3 linked regions of the Schizosaccharomyces pombe genome follow. The protein of the gene in region 1 interacts with the protein of each later gene in a biochemical or structural test. Each region holds a gene or a part of one and is shown on either strand. Other genes may lie near its edges. The genes, in order: cdm1, cdc6 and cdc1.

What was found.
Region 2: the proteins of cdm1 (region 1) and cdc6 form a complex in vitro, tested with the Schizosaccharomyces pombe proteins (one study listed by BioGRID).
Region 3: the proteins of cdm1 (region 1) and cdc1 form a complex in vitro, tested with the Schizosaccharomyces pombe proteins (one study listed by BioGRID).

Annotation. Positions count from the first base shown.
Region 1 is NC_003423.3:2,303,672-2,309,325, reverse strand, and holds cdm1 (DNA polymerase delta subunit Cdm1), read left to right. Parts: upstream 1-2,952; 5' UTR 2,953-3,085; coding exon 3,086-3,568; 3' UTR 3,569-3,599; downstream 3,600-5,654. Other genes in the region: chaperonin-containing T-complex alpha subunit Cct1, read right to left, coding at 1-1,395, 1,640-1,725, 1,764-1,811, 1,860-1,890; protein Sad1, read right to left, coding at 3,600-5,144. UniProt on the Schizosaccharomyces pombe protein: Appears to have a role in the stabilization of the DNA polymerase delta complex.
Region 2 is NC_003423.3:2,740,571-2,750,467, forward strand, and holds cdc6 (DNA polymerase delta catalytic subunit Cdc6), read left to right. Parts: upstream 1-3,191; 5' UTR 3,192-3,272; coding exon 3,273-3,501; intron 3,502-3,553; coding exon 3,554-6,585; 3' UTR 6,586-6,620; coding exon of another isoform or gene 6,621-7,757; 3' UTR 7,758-8,026; downstream 8,027-9,897. Other genes in the region: Ras guanine nucleotide exchange factor efc25, read left to right, coding at 1-2,595; hen1 (S-adenosylmethionine-dependent methyltransferase), read right to left, coding at 6,621-7,757; ribonuclease H Rnh1, read right to left, coding at 8,221-8,947, 9,132-9,199. UniProt on the Schizosaccharomyces pombe protein: Catalytic component of DNA polymerase delta (DNA polymerase III) which participates in chromosomal DNA replication.
Region 3 is NC_003424.3:4,011,743-4,017,057, reverse strand, and holds cdc1 (DNA polymerase delta small subunit Cdc1), read right to left. Parts: upstream 2,009-5,315; coding exon 868-2,008; exon of another isoform or gene 819-867; coding exon 571-818; 3' UTR 501-570; downstream 1-500. Other genes in the region: msm1 (methionine--tRNA (Met) ligase), read left to right, coding at 1-480; SPOM_SPAC27E2.14 (uncharacterized protein), read left to right, coding at 4,381-4,395, 4,447-4,536.

The sequences.
Region 1 (5,654 bases):
CAACTTAGACATGGATGGCTCAAGAACACCAGCCTTAACATTATCACGAATTACGCCATTAAGTAAATCAAGACCATAATTTTTGTATCCCCGTTTCTTAACATCTGTAACCTCAGCATTTTGACTGGCTGCGTGATAAGCACGCAACTTAGCTGTCAGTTCAGTAGAGTCTTTGGCGGCATTGACGGCCAAAGTTCTGGGAATAATTAACAAAGCTTGTGCAAACTCAGCAATTGCAAGTTGCTCACGAGAGCCCAAAGAGGTAGCAAAATTTTCCAAGTAAATGCTCAGAGCTGTTTCCACAGCGCCGCCACCAGGAACGACTTTGCCGCTCTCAAGAGTGCGTTTGACGACGCTTAAAGAATCATGCATTGAACGCTCCATTTCATCTAAAGAGTATTCATTGGGGCCTCGCAGAACAATTGATGCAGACGAATAAGCTTTGGTTCCTTTGACAAGAATACATTCATCATCCGAAAATTTTTCTTGAACAACCTCTTCAGCCGAGCCCAAGTAGGAACTTTCAAAGGTTTCTTCACCCTCTAAATTTGACAATGAACTGAGTAAGGTAGCACCGGAAGCCTTGGCGATACGTCTCAAATCTTCCTTTTTGCATCTACGAACAGCCATTGCGCCAGCTTCAATAATGGATTTCAAACAGAGATCATCAATGCCCTTTGTGGTAAGAATAACATTGGCACCCGCATTGAGAATTTTTTTGACGCGTTCCAGCGTAATCATAACTTCTCGTTCACGGATCTTTTCAAGTTGATCGGGGTCATCAATCGTCACATGCACACCTAACGCCATTTTAGTTTTTTGCAAATCCATATCCAAAACAGCAATTTTAGCATTCTGAACACGAGTTTTCATAGCTTGACTGGCAATGGTACAATTTAAAGCATAACCTTTAACCAGGACGGACTCTCGAGAACTTTTGCCATGTGCCTTCAAAATGTTGACAGCTTTAACAGGGTAACGGGTCTCACCCTTAGAATTAGAAGTTTTGACGGAAAGCATTGCGTCAACAGCCATGGTTGAAAAAAAGTCTGAATCATTACCAATAATTTTTGAAGACATACTGGTTTTGGCAACGTTAATAAGACTCTCTTTTCCCAAACTATCTACGCTGCAGCTCAAGACATCTGTCATAAATTTTACGGCTTCACGGATAGCAAGTCGATAACCGGTTATAATAGTAGTGGGGTGAATTTTGTTTTTGACAAGCTCATTCGCACGTCTCAACAATTCAGCCGCAATAATGACAACACTAGTAGTTCCATCACCTACTTCTTTGTCTTGTTGTTGAGCTAATTCAACCAGCACTTTACCAGCAGGATGTTCAACATCCAATAATGATAAAATGGTAGCACCATCGTTTGTAACAGTAACATCCTAATACAAGTTAGATAGAAATAAAAGAAAGTAAGAAAAAATATAATAAAAGATGAACTATAATGGCAGGAATACTTATTAATTCGATTCACAATATAAGGTTGACTCTTCCCTGCCAATTAAGATTTCCTTAAATGCGAGAAGATTACAACACTAGCGTATCAAATCAATAAATATTGGTTAAAGGCCAATATCCCCCATTATTGTCTAAAATTTTCTTTTCTTCACGAGGTCTTTAACATACACCAATATCGTCAACGAGCATTTTGTCTAACCCGACAGGACCCAAGGATGATTTGACGACATTCGCAATTGCGGTCGTTGCCAAAACTAAAATGTTAAAAGTTATGAAAAGAAAATTAACATACCATTTTGGTTTCGTACGTCCTCTCCACTGATTTTTTCACCACTCAAAACTACAACATGTTAATAATTTACCATCCAGCGCAATATTGGATGCTTACAAAGAGTGGATTCTCTCGGTGCTTGAAACATTTCAGCTAGATTCGATGTTCTCCTCTAAACTGATTAACAATCTTTGTTTACACGTTTGGCAGACGTCGAGGGAGGAAGGTTCTTTGAAATGTACTAAAAGCATTCAAACCCTCTAAGTGTTACCTCATATAGCGTAATGTTACCCTCTTGGTGGAAACTAAAATTCTGCAACACAAACTACCTGTGCACTATTTGCAGCATAGGGACAATTAACAAATTCAATAATTTTGATTTACGAAGGATGTCTTTCACGTTTGAAAGCATTATGTAAATTTATCGACTGCATTAAAAAATATAACAATTTGGTTGACTACACTGTATTTAATGATAGTGCAGTTTAATCATTGAGAAAGCCCGGTCAGTTTGTTTACCACTGTATAACTAACAGTTTAAAAGCCCTTAAAAAAAGACAACTTAATGAAACTAGATACTTAAATTACTAAAAGCTGTAAGGGAATTGAAGTTTCAACTGTCTTTGTGCTTCAATTGCAGTGTAAAAAGTTACGCTGTTTTAGCAAAGCACAAAAGACAAATTTTGCAATACTCAAAGCTATTTAACTATAAATTTTTTAAATTTTGAAAATGTTAATAAGTATATCTATTTGCATTTACGAAATTGCCTATTTTAAATCGGTAAAGACCAAAACCCTTTTTAGAAACGTATTAAAGATATGTTAGGAAGGCTGGCAAGTGATTCAATTGCATGACCAAGGCTGGATTAAGACAACACGTATTGCTAAAATACTTGTATCTAATTATGAAATTTCCACAATACTATCTGAACTAATAACGAGTATTGTTTACTTCTTGTTTGCTCCAACAACGAACTAGAAATACCGAAATAGGGGTCGTCAAGAAGTTTCTATTTTAATAATTATCAATAATGCACTTAAATACTTGGACCTAAATGAATAATAATATATATGAAGGCTGATATATGTATAACGATAAAGAACGAGCGGATGGCTGGATACTTATTTTCTCGTCAGCGTGACGCATTTTAAACATCGCTATAGTAGTCATCTAAAGTTATATATACATATTAAAAGTACACTTGCAACCAAATGTACTTTTTCAGAGATTTCTTTTGGCCAAACAAACTAATGCTCTAAATTGAGTAAACACGAAAAAGAATTGGATTTATAGTGCACCTTTCATTCTAGTACCGCAGTGTTACAGAATTATATCACGCAGTATGAAGAAGCGCACTACTCAAGCGAAAAAATCAGGGCAAAACACTAATATTCGCGACGTGTTTCCACATGTAGTTCGAAGTAATTCAAGTCAATCCCACATAGGGAAGAAAGTGAGTTCTGAACAGTCGCCTACACCCGATGTTACAATTACAACCAAAACCTTGGATGAGAGAATTAAAGAAGACGATGAGCTTTCAAAAGAGGTAGAAGAGGCTTGGAATCAAATTATGGCTGAAAGGATTAGTGAACCAATACATTGTGAAAATATAACCAAAGTAGAGTTCATTTTGCATCACTTTGACACTACGGCAAGATATGGACCATATCTTGGTATGACAAGGATGCAACGCTGGAAACGTGCAAAAAACTTCAATTTAAATCCTCCAGAAACAGTGGGAAAGATATTGATGCTCGAGGAAGCAGATGAGGAAAATCGAAAAAGAGAATCGCTCTTTTATGATCTTCAAACCATTCCAGGCTAGATTATTTTTATATCTTACATTTTGTAGGTCTTTAAGATGAATCTTGACCCGTATTCTCTGCAGTACTTTCGGCTTTCTCACCTAAAGAAGGTATTGGTTGTTCGTCTGCATTGGGTACAGTCCCATGAACTCGAACTTGATACAAGCATGTGTAATTGGGATTTCCCCAGTTGCTTTTTATTTTTAAGATCACATTCTGTATCGGTTCAGCGACAATATAATTGGAGGATTCAAACGAAAAAGTTTGAATAGAGTCTTCCGTTAAAGAATATCTCGCCTTTCCCAACAATACAAACATCTTGCTGGACATTCCCTGAACCCACAACTCAAAGTCCTTGGGAGCGCTAGAAAGATCATGAGCAATCTTGTGCTGAACGTGCTCTATTGTGACATTGGTTACATATACAGGGCGTGATAGGGAAATTCCTAATTGTCCCTCTGAACCTTGAAAGCTCCAACACATCGCAACTGCGTTGTTGGGAGTTAATGCTATGCTAGGTTCGTGTCCTCTAACAACGAGCGAATCAAAGAAATAGGAGGTAAATCGTGGTATGAATGCAGATGGTCGTCTCACATAGCGTTTTGAGGTTAAGGCAGGTAGTACTTCCGCTCCTGTTGAGAGCAATGCAAAATTCGGCATGGAAACCGGATCGGTCAAGTATTTTCGAACCGTAGATTCGATGAAGAACTTCCAATCGTCATTTAGTTCAACTTCAAATGGGACCGATGATTTGTAATTAGACATCTCCTCCTTTAGCGACTGTTTTAATTGCTCTACTTTTTGTTGTAAAATCTTGTCAAATTCCTTTTTTGTAATTAAATCTCCCGTCGAATAATCGAATTCCTCATTGCCGCCAACTTTAGAAGGTGAATCTGTGAAGTCTTTAATAATATCTGGCTTTAAACTTGTTTTGGTGTCATTGGATGCAGGAGGAATGTTTGGTACGGGCGAATTAGATGGTTGGGAATTATCTGATGAAAATGATCTTGAGTAAAATTCTTGACCCTTGTGAAGTAGAGTAATTATTAGGAGAGTCGAAAAGAGAGTGATACCGAACCAAAGTAATGGTTTAAATTTTGAGGAATAAAATTGAGATTTCCTTGTAGATCTTTGATTCATCGGGTACCTAAAACTGGCATTTGTTGCGGTGGTATCCTCGTTCAAGCTATACCCTTCATCATCACTTTCCTCGTCGATGCTGTTTTCGTATTCTTCATTGACAAACTCTTCATCATCTCCATCTGATTCATAGAATACATTCGTCGAAGCTTCGTGTCCATTTTTCACTACGTTTTCAAATTCTTCGTTATCAGATTCCTCTTGCTCGTATCGAATATTAGAGTGGTAAGCCTGTTCGAAATTGGGAGCTGGAAATCTTTGTTTAGGAGTAATTGATTCAATGGACACCCTGGTAGGAGGGGACCTTATCTTTGTATAGCGAAGTTTATGCATTTTGGAGGCCAAATCAGCCGTATTTTGATGAATCTGAGCAGAGTTCGCTCCTAACGTCGACCAAGCTGGATGAGCGCCATTTTGACGCTCTCTTTTCCCTCCAACCGGTGTATTAGTAAACATTGATGTATAAAAGGCTATTTGAAAATTAAAAGAAAAATATACAAACGAATCAGTGATAAATAAATATGTAAAAAGAGAGACAAAAATTGAAAAGAGAGTATTGGAAGGCGAGAATTTGAATTAGTGTTCGTATTCAAAAAAGTGAAGCTTAAGTAGGATTCTGTAATTGAATGCCTTTTTGATCGCTTTATGCGAATGTATAAATTATTAATAACAGACGAATTATCGTTGACGCCTTTTTTATGTGAAAACAGATACCTATACACACAATGTATGTAATTGATCCTACCCTAGCAGAGTATACCTTTCTTGAGGTATCATTCCAATTCCAATACTGGAAAATTCCTTCACAAACAATAAAGGATACAATACCAAGATAAACACACTAGAAATGGACGGTACGAAGATTGACTGCTGAGAAAGAGTTTTGTTGTGTTTACGGTAAGTGTATACACTAAGAATTTACTACGTTATATATCGCTGACAATCGATAAATATTCATAACATAAT
Region 2 (9,897 bases), 440 kb from region 1:
CGAGCTTCTCCAGAAATTCGCTATGTAAGCGATTTCACTCCTCCCTCATCTCCCTTTGAAGACATGCAAGCGTCTGTTCATTCTTTGCCCTTGTCTGGATGTTCGATTGGTCCTGTGCGTACTAACCATTCTTCATCTTTGTCAAATTCATCTAACTCATTACTACAAACCGAGTCCTCCTTGCGACCCAATTCTTCTTTCGTAAATAGTCCTTTTTTCCCCCTTCCTTCTTCTGATGATCTTTTCCTTAATGACAGAGTCATTAATCTCTTTCTTTTTTATGAAAAATTCTCTTATTTGTTCACTCATTTACTTTCTGCTATAAAATCTAGAGATGCGTTGAGCATTCCATCACTCGTTCTTTCTCTCCAAGAAGAACTCTTCAATCTCTGCCAGCAGACCGGGACTTTTTATCTTCTCCAACACAATCTCTTGCAAAACTTTGAGTTTGAAAACCCCATTAAATTACATTTTGATAAGATAATTCCCTACTTTTCGAGATTAACTGTACTGACCTTCTCGAATCGTGCTTTTATTTTTCCAGACCACACTTTTCCCCGCTTACAGCAAAGCGCTGAGGATTTTCTGTACCATTTACAATTTTTCTTTACTCTGTGTGCAAATAATAGTTTATACCTTAGTCGCTTTTGTTACTACCCTTCTTTTGTTCCCAATACTCCTTTCGGGGGCAAATGGACCAACAATGGTTTGTCTGCTGTTTCATCAGCATATCGAACACGCTTGCTTGAGCCTTGCCTACCCGAACTCGACAAGTGCGTATGGTTTTTATTGAAAAATTGTGATGAATTTATTGAAAACTTCTCTGATTTTGCCGATGAAGAGTATGTCTTTGAAATTTGTTCCACAATTACTAGCCACTCTGAACAAATCTTCAACAAACTTGAAAGTTGGGATATGTCGATATACTTTGATAAAGATTTAAGTGAGTGCGAGCAAGCTACAAACTTTGCAGTCCAATCTTACTTTGTTACAAAGCAACGTTGTTATGATTTATTAACTGATCTGGTTTGTTCATCTCAAGACTTGATGATGGAGCACTCAAACGATTTTTCTACAATGCCTACAATGATTGCTTCCATTGCTGTGGCTTTCCAAACTTTATTTGAAAATGTTTGTGATTTTCTTAAAGTACGTGCTGCTCTCGTCGATGAGATGCAGGAATTAGCAACAAAAGAGTTTGAAAACAAGTTTTCAAATGCAAACACAGCAAAAGATGACGAACCGGCTCGTCAAACTAACAAAGGTACTACTAGAATTTCTAGAAGTTCTGATTTTACCGCTGTTAGCGAGATGAGCAAGGATACCTTAACACTTGGCAGAAACTCTTTGCAATCAATTTTGATGCTGGATAATTTGTTAACCAATAAAGTTGTGCAAAGCGATAACAATGTTAAAGGTGGAACTTTACCGGCCCTCGTGCATTACCTTGTCCAGAACGTTCACTTGAACAAAGATTTTCGCCATTCGTTTCTTTTGACTTATAAAACGTTCACTACCCCCCAGGAATTGTTTACGCTTCTTGTCATTCTGTTTCACGAGTTACCGCCACCAGGATTAGATGCTACAGCATATAGTTCTTGGGAAAAGGGAGATAATTTTGTTACCAAGAAGAACGTCTGCACCGTTATGAATTTGTGGGTTCAAAAATACTTTTTTGAAGATTTAAAAGCCCGTAACACTCTTTATTTGATTTCGGAGATGCGTACCTTTTTACGTGACCATGTTGTTCCATCTTTTCATATTGGCAGTGTAATTTTATCGGAAATTGACAATCTCTGGACTGAAGAGCCTCCAGATTCGTTAACCCAACGCCTATTATCTTCTCCCATGGCTACTTTTATTTCTTTAAACGTATATGCTTATACTCCTGAAGAATTTGCTTCCCAGATGACATTATTGGAGTTTGATTATCTAAAGCAGATTCCTTCGAGGGAATGGATATTTAGAAGCTGGGTTAGTCGCGATTCTCGCAGCGCTGTCCGAAATTATATAAACTTTTCGAATTGTTTCACCTATTGGATAATCAATTGTATTTTAGAGAAAAAGAATACCAAAGCTCGTACAGCAGTAATATCCTTTTTTATACAAACTGCCTACAAGTGCTTGTCCCTCCAAAACTTTTCCACTCTAATGTCTATTGTTTCTGCCTTAAATTCTGCTCCTATTTATCGTTTACATGCAGCGTACAAACTTGTTAAAGCTGAAGACATAATATGTCTGTCTGGTTTACGTGAAATCGTGGAAACAAAGAAAAATTTCAGTACTTATCGTGCTTTACTTCGCAAGGCTGAACTTCCTTGCGTACCGTTTTTGGGTGTCATATTAAGTGACTTGACTTTTATCGATGAAGGTAACCCCGATGTTCTTGATTCATCTCCACATCTGTTAAGTTTTAATAAGCGGCATCGACTTGCCGATGTCGTCGCAGATGTGTGCCGATTCCAATCCTCCTCTTACGAAATGCAATCTAATACTGATCTTCAAAGCTATATTTTACATCGGTGTCGCTTTGTTAACCAAGATCTGTCCTATTTATTTGATAAATCACTCTCACTTGAACCTCGTTCTTCTTAAATCTTATTTTTTACCCCTCTCTTAAAATCCCGTTTTGGTTTTAGCCCGTATAGGGTTCGCTCTTTTAGTTGTCTTTCAGACACAGCTTTTAATCTATCTCTTTACGTATTTACTGTTAATGTTATCGTATTGGTTTAACTGACATGACCTTGATGTTGTATTATTCATTAGGCGTTGGTAAACAAAGTCTCAGAATAAATTATCGGAATTGTCGGTTTGTAGGCTGATGACTCTGCTCAGTTTTCTTAATTCCTATTGCTTGGAATCTAGTTCTTTTTGTTTTTGGACAATTGCGTCCTTTTTATTACTAATATCTTCCATTAATAATAAATTAGTCTTTTGTTATGCCCAAGAATACATTAAGTAGTGGTTTATGTAGCTTGATGGAGATTGGTATAAACTTGTATATTTGATTTCTTTCTCCATCGTAATTTGACAGCTAACCTATTTAATGTGGTTTTACCTTTTCAGCAGTTGACACTCATACCAAAATTTATTGGTGTACGCTTTGAACTTACCTACAAGATATTCGCCTAAGTACCTATTTGTTGTTACCTACAAAACCCTTTTAGTTGCTCGTCTTCCTACCAAAAACCAAGAGCATGTAAGCTTGGTGTCTTCCTTATTTACCATTTTCTGTTCTAATTTTCATAATAAATAAAAAATTAATTACTAGAATGACAGATAGGTCTTCAAATGAGGGCGTCGTGTTAAATAAAGAAAACTATCCATTTCCCCGAAGAAATGGTTCAATTCATGGCGAAATTACAGATGTCAAACGGCGACGTTTAAGCGAAAGAAATGGATATGGTGATAAAAAGGGCTCATCCTCAAAAGAAAAAACTTCATCTTTTGAGGATGAGCTGGCTGAATACGCTTCACAATTGGACCAAGATGAAATAAAATGTAAGGTTTTTTGGATAGCTAACCATTTATTAGTATACTGACTCCTTGATAGCTTCAAAAGATCAGCAGTGGCAACGACCAGCTTTACCTGCAATAAATCCTGAGAAGGATGATATTTATTTTCAGCAAATCGATAGTGAGGAGTTCACAGAAGGATCTGTACCTTCAATTCGTTTGTTTGGTGTTACTGACAATGGAAACAGCATCCTTGTTCATGTTGTGGGATTCCTTCCGTACTTTTATGTTAAAGCCCCGGTTGGATTTCGACCTGAGATGCTAGAACGTTTCACACAAGATTTAGATGCTACTTGTAATGGGGGTGTGATCGATCATTGCATTATAGAGATGAAGGAAAATTTATATGGATTTCAGGGAAATGAAAAATCTCCATTCATTAAAATCTTTACTACTAACCCTCGTATATTATCTCGAGCACGAAATGTATTTGAAAGAGGAGAATTCAACTTCGAAGAGCTTTTCCCTGTTGGTGTCGGTGTCACTACTTTTGAGAGCAATACGCAATATCTTCTTAGATTCATGATTGACTGTGATGTTGTTGGTATGAATTGGATTCATCTTCCTGCTTCAAAATATCAATTTCGTTACCAGAATCGAGTTTCTAATTGTCAAATTGAAGCTTGGATTAATTACAAAGACTTGATCAGTCTTCCAGCTGAAGGCCAGTGGTCTAAAATGGCCCCACTGAGGATCATGAGCTTTGATATTGAATGCGCAGGTCGCAAAGGCGTTTTTCCTGATCCCTCTATTGACCCTGTAATTCAAATTGCAAGTATAGTAACGCAGTATGGAGACTCCACTCCTTTTGTTCGTAATGTCTTTTGTGTTGATACATGCTCACAAATCGTTGGAACACAAGTATATGAATTTCAAAATCAGGCTGAAATGCTTTCAAGTTGGTCAAAATTTGTTCGTGATGTTGACCCAGATGTTTTAATTGGGTACAACATCTGCAACTTTGATATCCCTTACCTCTTGGATCGAGCAAAAAGCTTACGCATTCACAATTTCCCATTACTTGGCCGTATTCATAATTTTTTTTCTGTCGCAAAGGAAACCACGTTTTCAAGTAAAGCATATGGTACTCGTGAAAGCAAAACCACTAGTATTCCTGGGCGTTTGCAGCTTGATATGTTACAAGTAATGCAGCGTGATTTTAAGCTTCGATCTTACTCTTTAAATGCAGTCTGCTCTCAGTTTCTAGGCGAGCAAAAAGAAGATGTACACTATTCTATCATCACTGACTTGCAAAATGGCACTGCCGATTCTAGAAGACGTTTAGCTATTTATTGTCTGAAAGATGCATATTTACCCCAACGCTTAATGGACAAATTAATGTGTTTTGTTAACTATACTGAAATGGCAAGAGTAACAGGTGTACCGTTTAATTTTCTTCTTGCTAGAGGCCAACAGATTAAAGTTATTTCTCAATTGTTTCGCAAAGCTCTTCAACATGACCTAGTTGTTCCAAATATACGTGTAAATGGAACAGATGAGCAATATGAAGGTGCTACAGTCATTGAACCGATTAAAGGATACTATGATACCCCTATTGCAACACTGGATTTTAGTTCACTTTATCCTTCGATTATGCAAGCCCATAATTTATGCTATACGACATTACTTGACTCAAATACTGCAGAATTATTAAAACTTAAGCAAGATGTTGACTACTCAGTGACTCCGAACGGAGATTATTTCGTTAAACCACATGTTCGTAAAGGACTACTCCCTATTATCTTAGCTGATTTACTTAATGCACGTAAGAAAGCAAAAGCAGATCTAAAAAAGGAAACGGACCCATTCAAAAAGGCTGTTTTGGATGGTAGACAGCTAGCTTTAAAAGTAAGTGCTAATTCAGTATATGGATTTACTGGTGCTACCAACGGACGTTTGCCGTGTTTAGCAATTTCTTCTTCTGTTACCTCTTATGGTCGACAAATGATTGAAAAAACCAAGGATGTTGTAGAAAAGAGATACAGAATTGAGAATGGATACTCTCACGATGCAGTTGTAATCTATGGTGACACTGATTCTGTTATGGTTAAGTTTGGCGTTAAAACGTTACCTGAAGCCATGAAATTAGGAGAGGAAGCAGCTAATTATGTTTCAGACCAGTTTCCGAATCCTATTAAACTGGAGTTTGAGAAAGTGTACTTTCCATATCTTTTAATTTCCAAAAAACGTTATGCAGGATTATTTTGGACTCGTACAGATACTTATGATAAAATGGACTCTAAAGGAATAGAAACTGTCAGAAGAGATAACTGTCCTCTAGTATCTTATGTGATTGACACAGCTTTGAGAAAAATGTTAATTGATCAGGATGTAGAGGGTGCACAGTTGTTTACAAAAAAAGTTATTTCCGATTTGTTACAAAACAAAATTGATATGTCACAACTTGTAATCACAAAGGCATTATCAAAAACTGATTATGCTGCCAAAATGGCACACGTTGAATTGGCTGAGCGAATGCGTAAACGAGATGCTGGCTCCGCCCCAGCCATAGGAGATCGCGTTGCATACGTTATTATTAAAGGTGCACAAGGTGATCAATTTTATATGAGGTCGGAGGACCCTATATATGTATTGGAAAATAACATTCCTATTGATGCAAAATATTATTTGGAAAATCAACTCTCCAAACCTTTGCTTAGAATTTTTGAGCCTATTCTTGGTGAAAAAGCTAGCTCTTTACTTCATGGTGACCATACTCGGACGATTTCCATGGCAGCCCCCAGTGTTGGAGGAATAATGAAATTCGCAGTAAAGGTTGAGACCTGTCTTGGATGCAAAGCTCCCATAAAAAAAGGTAAAACTGCTTTATGTGAGAATTGTCTAAATAGATCGGCGGAACTGTATCAACGTCAGGTTGCTCAAGTGAATGATTTAGAAGTTCGTTTTGCTCGCTTATGGACTCAATGTCAGCGATGCCAAGGAAGTATGCATCAAGACGTCATTTGTACCAGTAGAGACTGCCCCATATTTTATATGCGAATTGCAGAACACAAGAAACTTCAGCAATCTGTTGACTTACTGAAAAGATTTGATGAAATGTCCTGGTGAAAAAGATGGATGTTTTTAATTACTAAATGTGTATATCAAACGTAATGATGAAAAGTTATAATAAAAATTCTACTTTTCTTAAGTACTTTTGCAATGCGAAAACTAAACGAGTTTGCCAAAGCTATACCTTTATGTTTGCTTTTTTTTAATTCAGGACAATATGATAAGTAAATTGAATCATCATAATGGAAGGCATGTCGAATGAGAGGCGAAGACTCCCAGATAAACAAGAAAGGTAATTTTACTGACAAAGCACACTTGCCAGCAATAACCTGGAATAAAAGTAAACAGTGACGTCCAAATAAATGATCAAAAAATGCTTTTTTCAGAAGATTCATAAATTGCTGCACTGTTGGAGGAAATAGTTGCTCCATAAATGGGTATGTAATCTTTTTGTAAAGAAGGATGCTTGAATTTTGGTCTTTTAAGAAGCAATGAGAAGCAGCATTGTTTTTAGATTGATGAAATACTGCGATTTGGGTGCAGAAACCGTAAGTAGATGATGGGCGAAAATGTAACAAATCGTCACCATCTATTAGATCATTTAGCAAACCACAGCCCGTAAATTCAACAGTATACTCTGGGTATCTTTTACAAATTTTATAAGCCCATTTAGCAAACTCTTTTCGATCCCATTCAAAAACGTGTTCAGGATGTCTAAAATTGGTAGAAGTACGAGATGATATACTACTTGTCAAGGTTGATAGTTTCTCAAAGATTGTGTTAAATTCAAAATTCGGAGTTGACACTACGCAAACATTGGGCTTCAAGTTTCCAAAAACAAGTTTTTCAAAGGCTAAAATCTCTGCAACTTGACAATGCTCAATAAACTCTGAAGCTACAACCGCATCAACATGTTTATAATGAGTAAAATCTTTAATATTACCAAGCAATAATTCAATATGTAGCGGTCGCCAACGTAGTTGTAAAAAGTCTTCGGTTCTAACCTGTAAAGCCTCAGTAGCTCTTTCAATACTTTGTTCGTTAATATCAATACCGGCCAGAAATTCTATAGGCACTTGATCATTGCAAGGTACTAAATATGATAGAAAACGAGCATCTCCACATCCAATGTCTAACAAAGATCGCACAGGGAAGCCTCCTTGAAGTATTTTAAATAATTTCCTTCGACGCTGTACATGCAAAGGTGGGTAAAAGCTAGAGACACCCATTGTCTAAACTCAAAGTATTTTTGGTACACTTTCTTCACGTTAGTCAAATAACTACCTATTAACTGTGAATGTTCGTTTCAAAACCACTATTTAAGCCTTTTCAAATTCATTACGAAGCGAATTGTTATTAATTCTTTGCTAAGTCCATTGCAATATGATTTCGATGACTGCCGTTAAGACACCGAACCAAATTTAATTGAAAAGGGAATTGTTGACTAGTGCGAAGTGTCATTTTCAACGTTAAATAATAAAATTATCTTAGCTCCGAATCTATACTTTTCAATTTCCTCTTTAAAATTGTTATAATAGCATGATATTTAATTACAATAAAATATGTAGCATTATGCAAAACGAGAACAAAAAAAGCACATACAACCAGCGAAGAGTAGACGAAAATTATACGGCAAATTTCAAAAGAATGTACCTATATCCATTTTTTACAGCGCTCATCATAGATGACCATTTACTCAGAAGCTCCTCGCCGAGCAAGCATATCGGCTTGTTGATTACCGTAATCGGTACTGTGTCCTTTCACGTACTCTAGCGAAACATTTCTGTCACTCATCAAATCTGAAGCGCGGTTGATCAAATCCAAATTTTTTACAGGTTGTGAATTGCTAGTCTTAAAGTCATTTTTCTTCCATTTAGGCAGCCATGTGGTTAGTGACTTAATGGAATAATTGCTGTCAGAGCGGATGGTCAAATCGCCAGATGTATTTTCAAGGGCTAGGATTATGGCTTGCAATTCCGCACGATTGTTGGTTTGCTCTTCCCCAGCCAACGGTACTGAAATATTTCTTGGGTCATCATTTCCGAAAAAAACTCCACAGCCAGCAACAGCTCCTTTTTTCCCATTTCGCAAACTAGAACCGTCAGCATAGACGACCTGTCGATCCGAGCACGCAATTGATTTTTCATGAGTGTCATTCGAAAATATTTCAATATCTTTTTCGGTACTATAACTTCTAGAAATTTTCTTTCTATATTTATCGGAGTGTCTAGCAGAGTAATTTGAGGAACTAGAAGAATATGGAGAGTACCCATAACTTGTTGTACTGCGGCGATATGGGCCAGAAGACGAGGAGTAGCGACTTCCTTCGGTCCTGCAAAATTCCTGAGCAGCCTCATAGCTGTCAAATTTCTTGTAGCGATTACCTCCATAACCTTTCACCTGATCCGACGCCTCATCCCTAAAAATTAGTAAGAGTTTGTTAAACAACAAGGTGTATCCATCAAGGAAATGTTAATAAGAGATCATCTTGAAAAAACCGATTCAGATTGAATTGAAGCAAAGCATACGACCGTATCGAAACTTGCTTAACGTGAAACTTATATTTAACAACGAAACCATTTTCTTGAGATACGCAGTCTTACCATGTACTATATATACCAGTATTTCGACCACGCGCTACTGCATAGTATGCACGCTTATTTCCACCCATTTCGTAATGCGAAGATTCAAAAATAGCTTTAAAATAGTAAAACTTAGTAAAACTTGGGAGTTTTTCCCAAAACTTTGCAAAAATACTTGTAGTTGACAAATTGAGCTGTAGTCTTATGAGTTATTGAAAATAGTGCAGAAAAAAGAAGGATTTGGATTTATAAATTTATATTAATTTGTAAAAGAGTTCAATTGACGATTAATAATGGTAGAGCATCAGGAAATGTCACATATCTGGACTACTGCAGTACGATACATAATAAAACGGGTTTGCTTATTTACTAGCTGCATAATCTCTGCACACTATATTACGGTAAGCTAGTTAGATCTCCGCGACTGTTATACCGCCTGACATTAAAATTAATACACAATTGATAGTATATTTTATTAGTTAAAAGCTCCTTAAATATAGAATACTCATTTTATGTCCTTAGCTCATTTAATGTAGTCTAATTTCAAACAAGCAGAAAAATGTATTGTTTGTTTAGTAATAATTGTTTAAGTCATTTTACCTTTTTAAGATTATACTTTCATAAAGAATCCTCATCTCTGTTGGCCTCTGAGTAGTTTGCAAATTGCGCAATTGTTATTCTAAAAAGAATCTTTTAGTCAGAGAAAAGATTATGCTTTTGCAGTGGGTATTGCCGCGCGTAGCAGAAAATTTGTAAACTATTCCACCATGTGCCCTTTTCAATTTAG
Region 3 (5,315 bases), on another chromosome or scaffold:
TCTTTAGGTGTGCTACTTTCTCGATTGCAATCGAAGAAACTGTTCATTTCCAATGAAATACAGAAGCAATGGCATAAAAAGGATGATTTTACAGAATACGAAGATATTGTACACGAACTTATAGAACTTCCTGTTGTTTGCGCGCAAAGCATAGATGGTGGGTGTGTTTACGAGGTTATTAATCTTGTTCAGTCTGTTTTAAGAAGAGTCACTAAGCTTTTTCAATTGAAAGAACCTTGGAAATTATCAGATGATTCTCAAGAAAAGATTGACACTTTAATGTTAGTAGCTCACAGCCTACGCATTAGCGGAATTCTCCTACAACCTATAATGCCAACCAAGTCGACTGAGTTATTAGACCAATTAGGAATTCCTAAAAACCAGCGCTCCCTACAGAATGCAACTAACGTTTTTGAACCTACGGAGTTCACGTTCCACAGTGGTAATAATTCTCATTTGTTTGACAAAAGAACTCAATGAGACGTGTAGATCAGATAATTATGATGACAACAGTAAGAAAAAACTTATTTATTTAATAAATACATGATTAAATATTCAAGATATTTTGCATTAAGAAGTAATTGGAGTCTCTGCTTTGACTGACATGGGGCGGAATTGAATAATTTCTACGTTGAGCGTATGCATATTTATGAGAACAAGTACACCAGTCTTACGAAATTCGGGAACGGAAACCAATTGTATTCTGTTTCCCTCATTAATGACTGTTTTGCAGCCAAATTTCGGTTGATTACCACAAAGATATAGATCAGGCATTTCCTCCATTACAAATGTATCTTTGTCGGTGAAAGGATAGCACCCTAAAATCATTAGCAAATATATCGTTTGAAAAATGTACAGATTACTTACATAAGGTATCAGGGCTGGTAGGTGTGATATGATTCCATAGTAAAGTGTTTTCCATGCATTGAAGTGAAGATTTTTTGGGATGATATTTTCGGAGATCATTAATGTTTTGGCCGCTAGTAGCCAACACAAAATGATTGCCAAGAGAAAGCCAAGTGGGATTCGTAACTGTTTGTAAAGAAGATCCCAACCAAACTTTTGATTTAGTAAGTAAAGCGGGATGCAAAGGCTGTTGAGGAAGGATAGTTGAACTGTAATCATAAGGACCAGGCATTAAAGTGACATCTATGCTGGAACACACTTGATCAAGAAAATTATCTAGTTGGAAGGTGGGATTTGGATTGTAAGCAGACGTGTCATAGCCATATCTTTTTACTTTTTTCTTGCCAATGGGCACGGACGCAGAAGCGGAGTCGGCAATTTCTATAGAAGGTGCTAAGCAATTTCCGAGAATAATTAGCCTTTTGATGGAGGAAGGGGAAAAGGAAGAGACATGTGGAAGTGTTCCTCTTAGGAAATCTACAAGCTGATGAACTTGAATGCCTTCTATGCCGTCATTTGAGAGACCTAAGCCACTGACTGCCGCAATGTACTCTGGTTGAGCTTGCGATTCATCTGTAGTCATTGGAATGGAATGAGAGAAGATGCCTGGAAAACAAACGTCAACGACAACGAAACGACCTTGTTCATCTTCATGGCCCAAAACTGCAAGAACAACTCCTGTAACAACGCCAGCGTCATACAAAAAGCTTCCGCTACAATCTATACGGCCATAGTCATCCTCAAGAGCATATTCTATATCACCTGAAGCAGCATCTTCTGGGCTAACATACGGAGATTCTTCAGTAGTGGTGACAATTGTATGAAGTTGTGTGACATCGTTCATAACGTTTGGCTTAAGAGCTGTAGTCATATAAGCGGTAGCGACAACCCAACAGTCTTCATCTGACTTAACATCTAAAACGCGTTCCAATCGCTGTTTATCCGGCCATTTTTTTGAAGCGGCTTCTGTGATTCTGGGTCGAAGAGCGGTAAGTCGGGCGAAATAGATGCTGGCGTACTGTTGACTATACGTTTGCTGACTTAAACTAAGCTCCAAGCGTTTAGTTTCTTCACAAGGAATTGAATGTCTGACTTCAACCATGATTATTTTGTAAATATATACAGTTAGGTAAGTTAAACACTTACCAAAGGAGTAGTCAGGATATTAAATCGAGATGCTCCACGAAAAATTTCACAACAATGGAGAGTGAAGAGTTGTCTACGATTCATGCAATTACTAAAACGAGCGAGTATTGCAAGTAAATGTGCGGAAAAAAATATATATATATATATATATATATTTATATGATTTCCCAAAAAACCTATGAACGGCCCCAAAACACCTGTTTAAAAAAAAGAGGAATAAATATAATAACGCTTTTGTTGTTTTTTCAATAAAATCAGTTCTTTAAATGTTATTGACTAATTTACACAAGCAGCATATGTAAAGAGTAAGGAACTTCAAAGGTGTGCTATGCAAGGTTAAGGGGAATCAATTTCATGGAATGGAACCAGGTTTAGAAGGTTCGAATAAGCAAAGGAGTTGGATGCAGCAGATCAACAAGTAAGAATACGTTGTATATGAGAAAGTCGTGGTTCCTAACATGACTAGCTGTTGTTACCTACAACAATAAAGTGTTTGAAGAACATCTTTTTTTAAATGTAAACAAAGAGGTAAACTTGACGAAAAGAGAAAGAAGCTCAATAAAGGTGAATGTTTACTAATTGAGGATGAACAAACATCATGTGGGTTTATTTCGTTTCATACAATTAACATTTTTCTCAACCTTGAACAATCATGATGAATCCATATATTTAGTCTATCGAGTTTTATCACACAAAAGTAAAAGAAGCAAATTCCCCAACGAAGTAAATGAACTACAAACCCTTTCCTATAGCATAAAAAGTGGGTTTTCGATTTATTTGATGATTGTAAATTAATAACATTATGTTAATTAATAGGAGGAAAGGTAGGCCAACATAGTGCCCTAGAAATGGTTAAGGTGATTTCTGTATCTTACTATATTACTTATTAAAGATGTATATCAAAACTACATTAATTTAAATTGAGGTTTTATTTTATTCCGTTGAAATCTGAATATTAAATAACGCAATGTTGATCGGTCACACTATTACCCCATATGGAAAAGTATTGTAGAAGGAAAAGCAAGAATAGCAAAACCAAATTCAAATGTTTAAAGTAAAATGAAAAACTTGCCGATTTTCTTCTTCTTCAAAGATATCAATACATCCTTTATAAAAAAGCCGCTTGTCACGAGAGGTCAATGAAGCGGTATTGCCTGTTGTCCGATATCAGAGAGCTAGCTATAAATAGACTGTGGACTGTTAACATTCAGTATCGGCTACAGCTGCGGGATATCGAACACAGGGATAATCGAGTATACTGAGATGAATCAATGTTGCACGATTTAAAAAGGTTTTAACGACTCATAAACTTGTGTACCAAAAAAAATAAGAATCTCTATGTTAGAGAATAATAATTACTTGCATAGCCAGCCAGTTGTGTTTTAGTTGTTAATATACTAAATAGAAATAACTTGGCAACTTGAATGAAATGGAAATAAAATCTTATTGTGTGTGATTAATGCAGTAAAACATAAAAAAAATGAGAAACTGTTTACGTATTAAAAGGTCATACGGTTTAAAAACGGTTGAAAGTTTGATAAATTGAAGATCGAAAATTACGATGAGATCTTTTGCTTAATGCACTTGTATAGTCAACATTTCACACAGTTACATTTTCACATTCGCCGGAATGTCGAATTGTTTAAAAAACTTTTACTTTATAGTGTCTTGCAAGAAGGACCTGCCTGCATACTGTAAAAATTTCACTTTCGCACTGCTAGAGTTTGGAACAAACGAGCCAATAACGGTTCTGCGGACAGTTGTCGGTTTCCGCTTCCCCTGAGGTTAAACTAAAGCAGTAGAGGGATTTTGTGGGATCGGAGTTTGAGAATCCATGTTTTATATAAAAATTTCAGAGTTTTGTTGCTTTTTGTTTGTGCTCATCTGCCCCGATTTTTTTCCAAACAGTAAGTAACAAATCGATGCTGCTAAAATATTGATACTCACTGGATACCTTGTAGGGAGCTTGAAGCAATAGTTGTGCAATGATTGTGAAAGTCAATTTGGCAGAATGATGGGGCCTCGTGGTTGCTTGGTTAACGAATTAATAGAAAGCAACAAATCATTCAGATAAACCGGAAGAGACATAGATGGATATGAATTGTTCTTGTTCCTATATGTGCGTGCGATACATTACCGAAATTCTCTTCACTTCCGTATTCTCTCACTGCATGTTTGCGGAAAGTCAACGGACCAAATAAAAAAGTACATCGAGCTCCTTGTTAAACATTGGGACAACCGTCTAGGCTCGATCACGGATGTTAAAGCAGTCCTCACGCTGAACTTGTTTGGATTGGTGTGTGAAATGCAAGAGACAGGAGAAAAGAAATGAGGTTACGGAGAGTAAGCAAGTCCCAGAATTCCCGAAAAGCAAATTCCAATCTAACGAGCTAGTTGTTTAAACAACCAAGTACAAGGGTCCTTGGGGTGACAAATTGTCCAAGACAACAGGGACACCAAAAGAGAAGGGAACAGCCGGACTGAAAATAAGTCAGAAAAGATAAAATGCCAGTGCTACTGAAATTGAAACATTCTGCGACATTCACGGTATGGTATGACAGAATTATTCCCAACATCCTTTTTGTAGAAGTATACTTTTCATTTCAACAATCTATTCTTTTTTAAGTTGCATTTTTGGAAGCTTATTTTACCTTAACTGGCATCTATTTAGAATACCTCGGCTATGAGATGTAGCGCAGTACCGTATTTGATCCTCGTTCTTTAGTTGTCTTTTTATTGAATTTGGTACTGTATTCGTTAGGATGCGCTGTGAGATATATTAGGTGGGAAGCGATGATTTCTGTATTCTCCTTAGAGGTTGTTTAATTGTGGATTGCATTTTTTTTTGCAATTGAAAGTGGAATTGGAATTTTGCGAGTGAGTGTAAAGAACTCCTTCTTTGCCTTTCTACATACTTTTTCCGTAAAAGTAAAAAAAAAGTAAAAGGAATGTTCTATCTAACAGCAAACATTCGCAGTCATTATTGCGTTGGGCTCAAACCAATTGATGATATTTTACGTGTATATGATGAGCATTTGCGTTGACTTGACTGGCCGTATAACGGTCTCGCTAGTAGCTATTTGCAAGTTCGGTATTATGTGTTAAAAAGAAAAGAAAGCAAGAAACTTTTGTATGTAATAATGTACCCTAAAAAAGTAGCCAGTTTTCAGCTGGGTCGATGAAACCGAGCTCGTTTACACACACACAAGTTTCGTCAAGCGAAAAAGAAAGAAGGAAAATAAAAATTTTCTTCCACTACACAT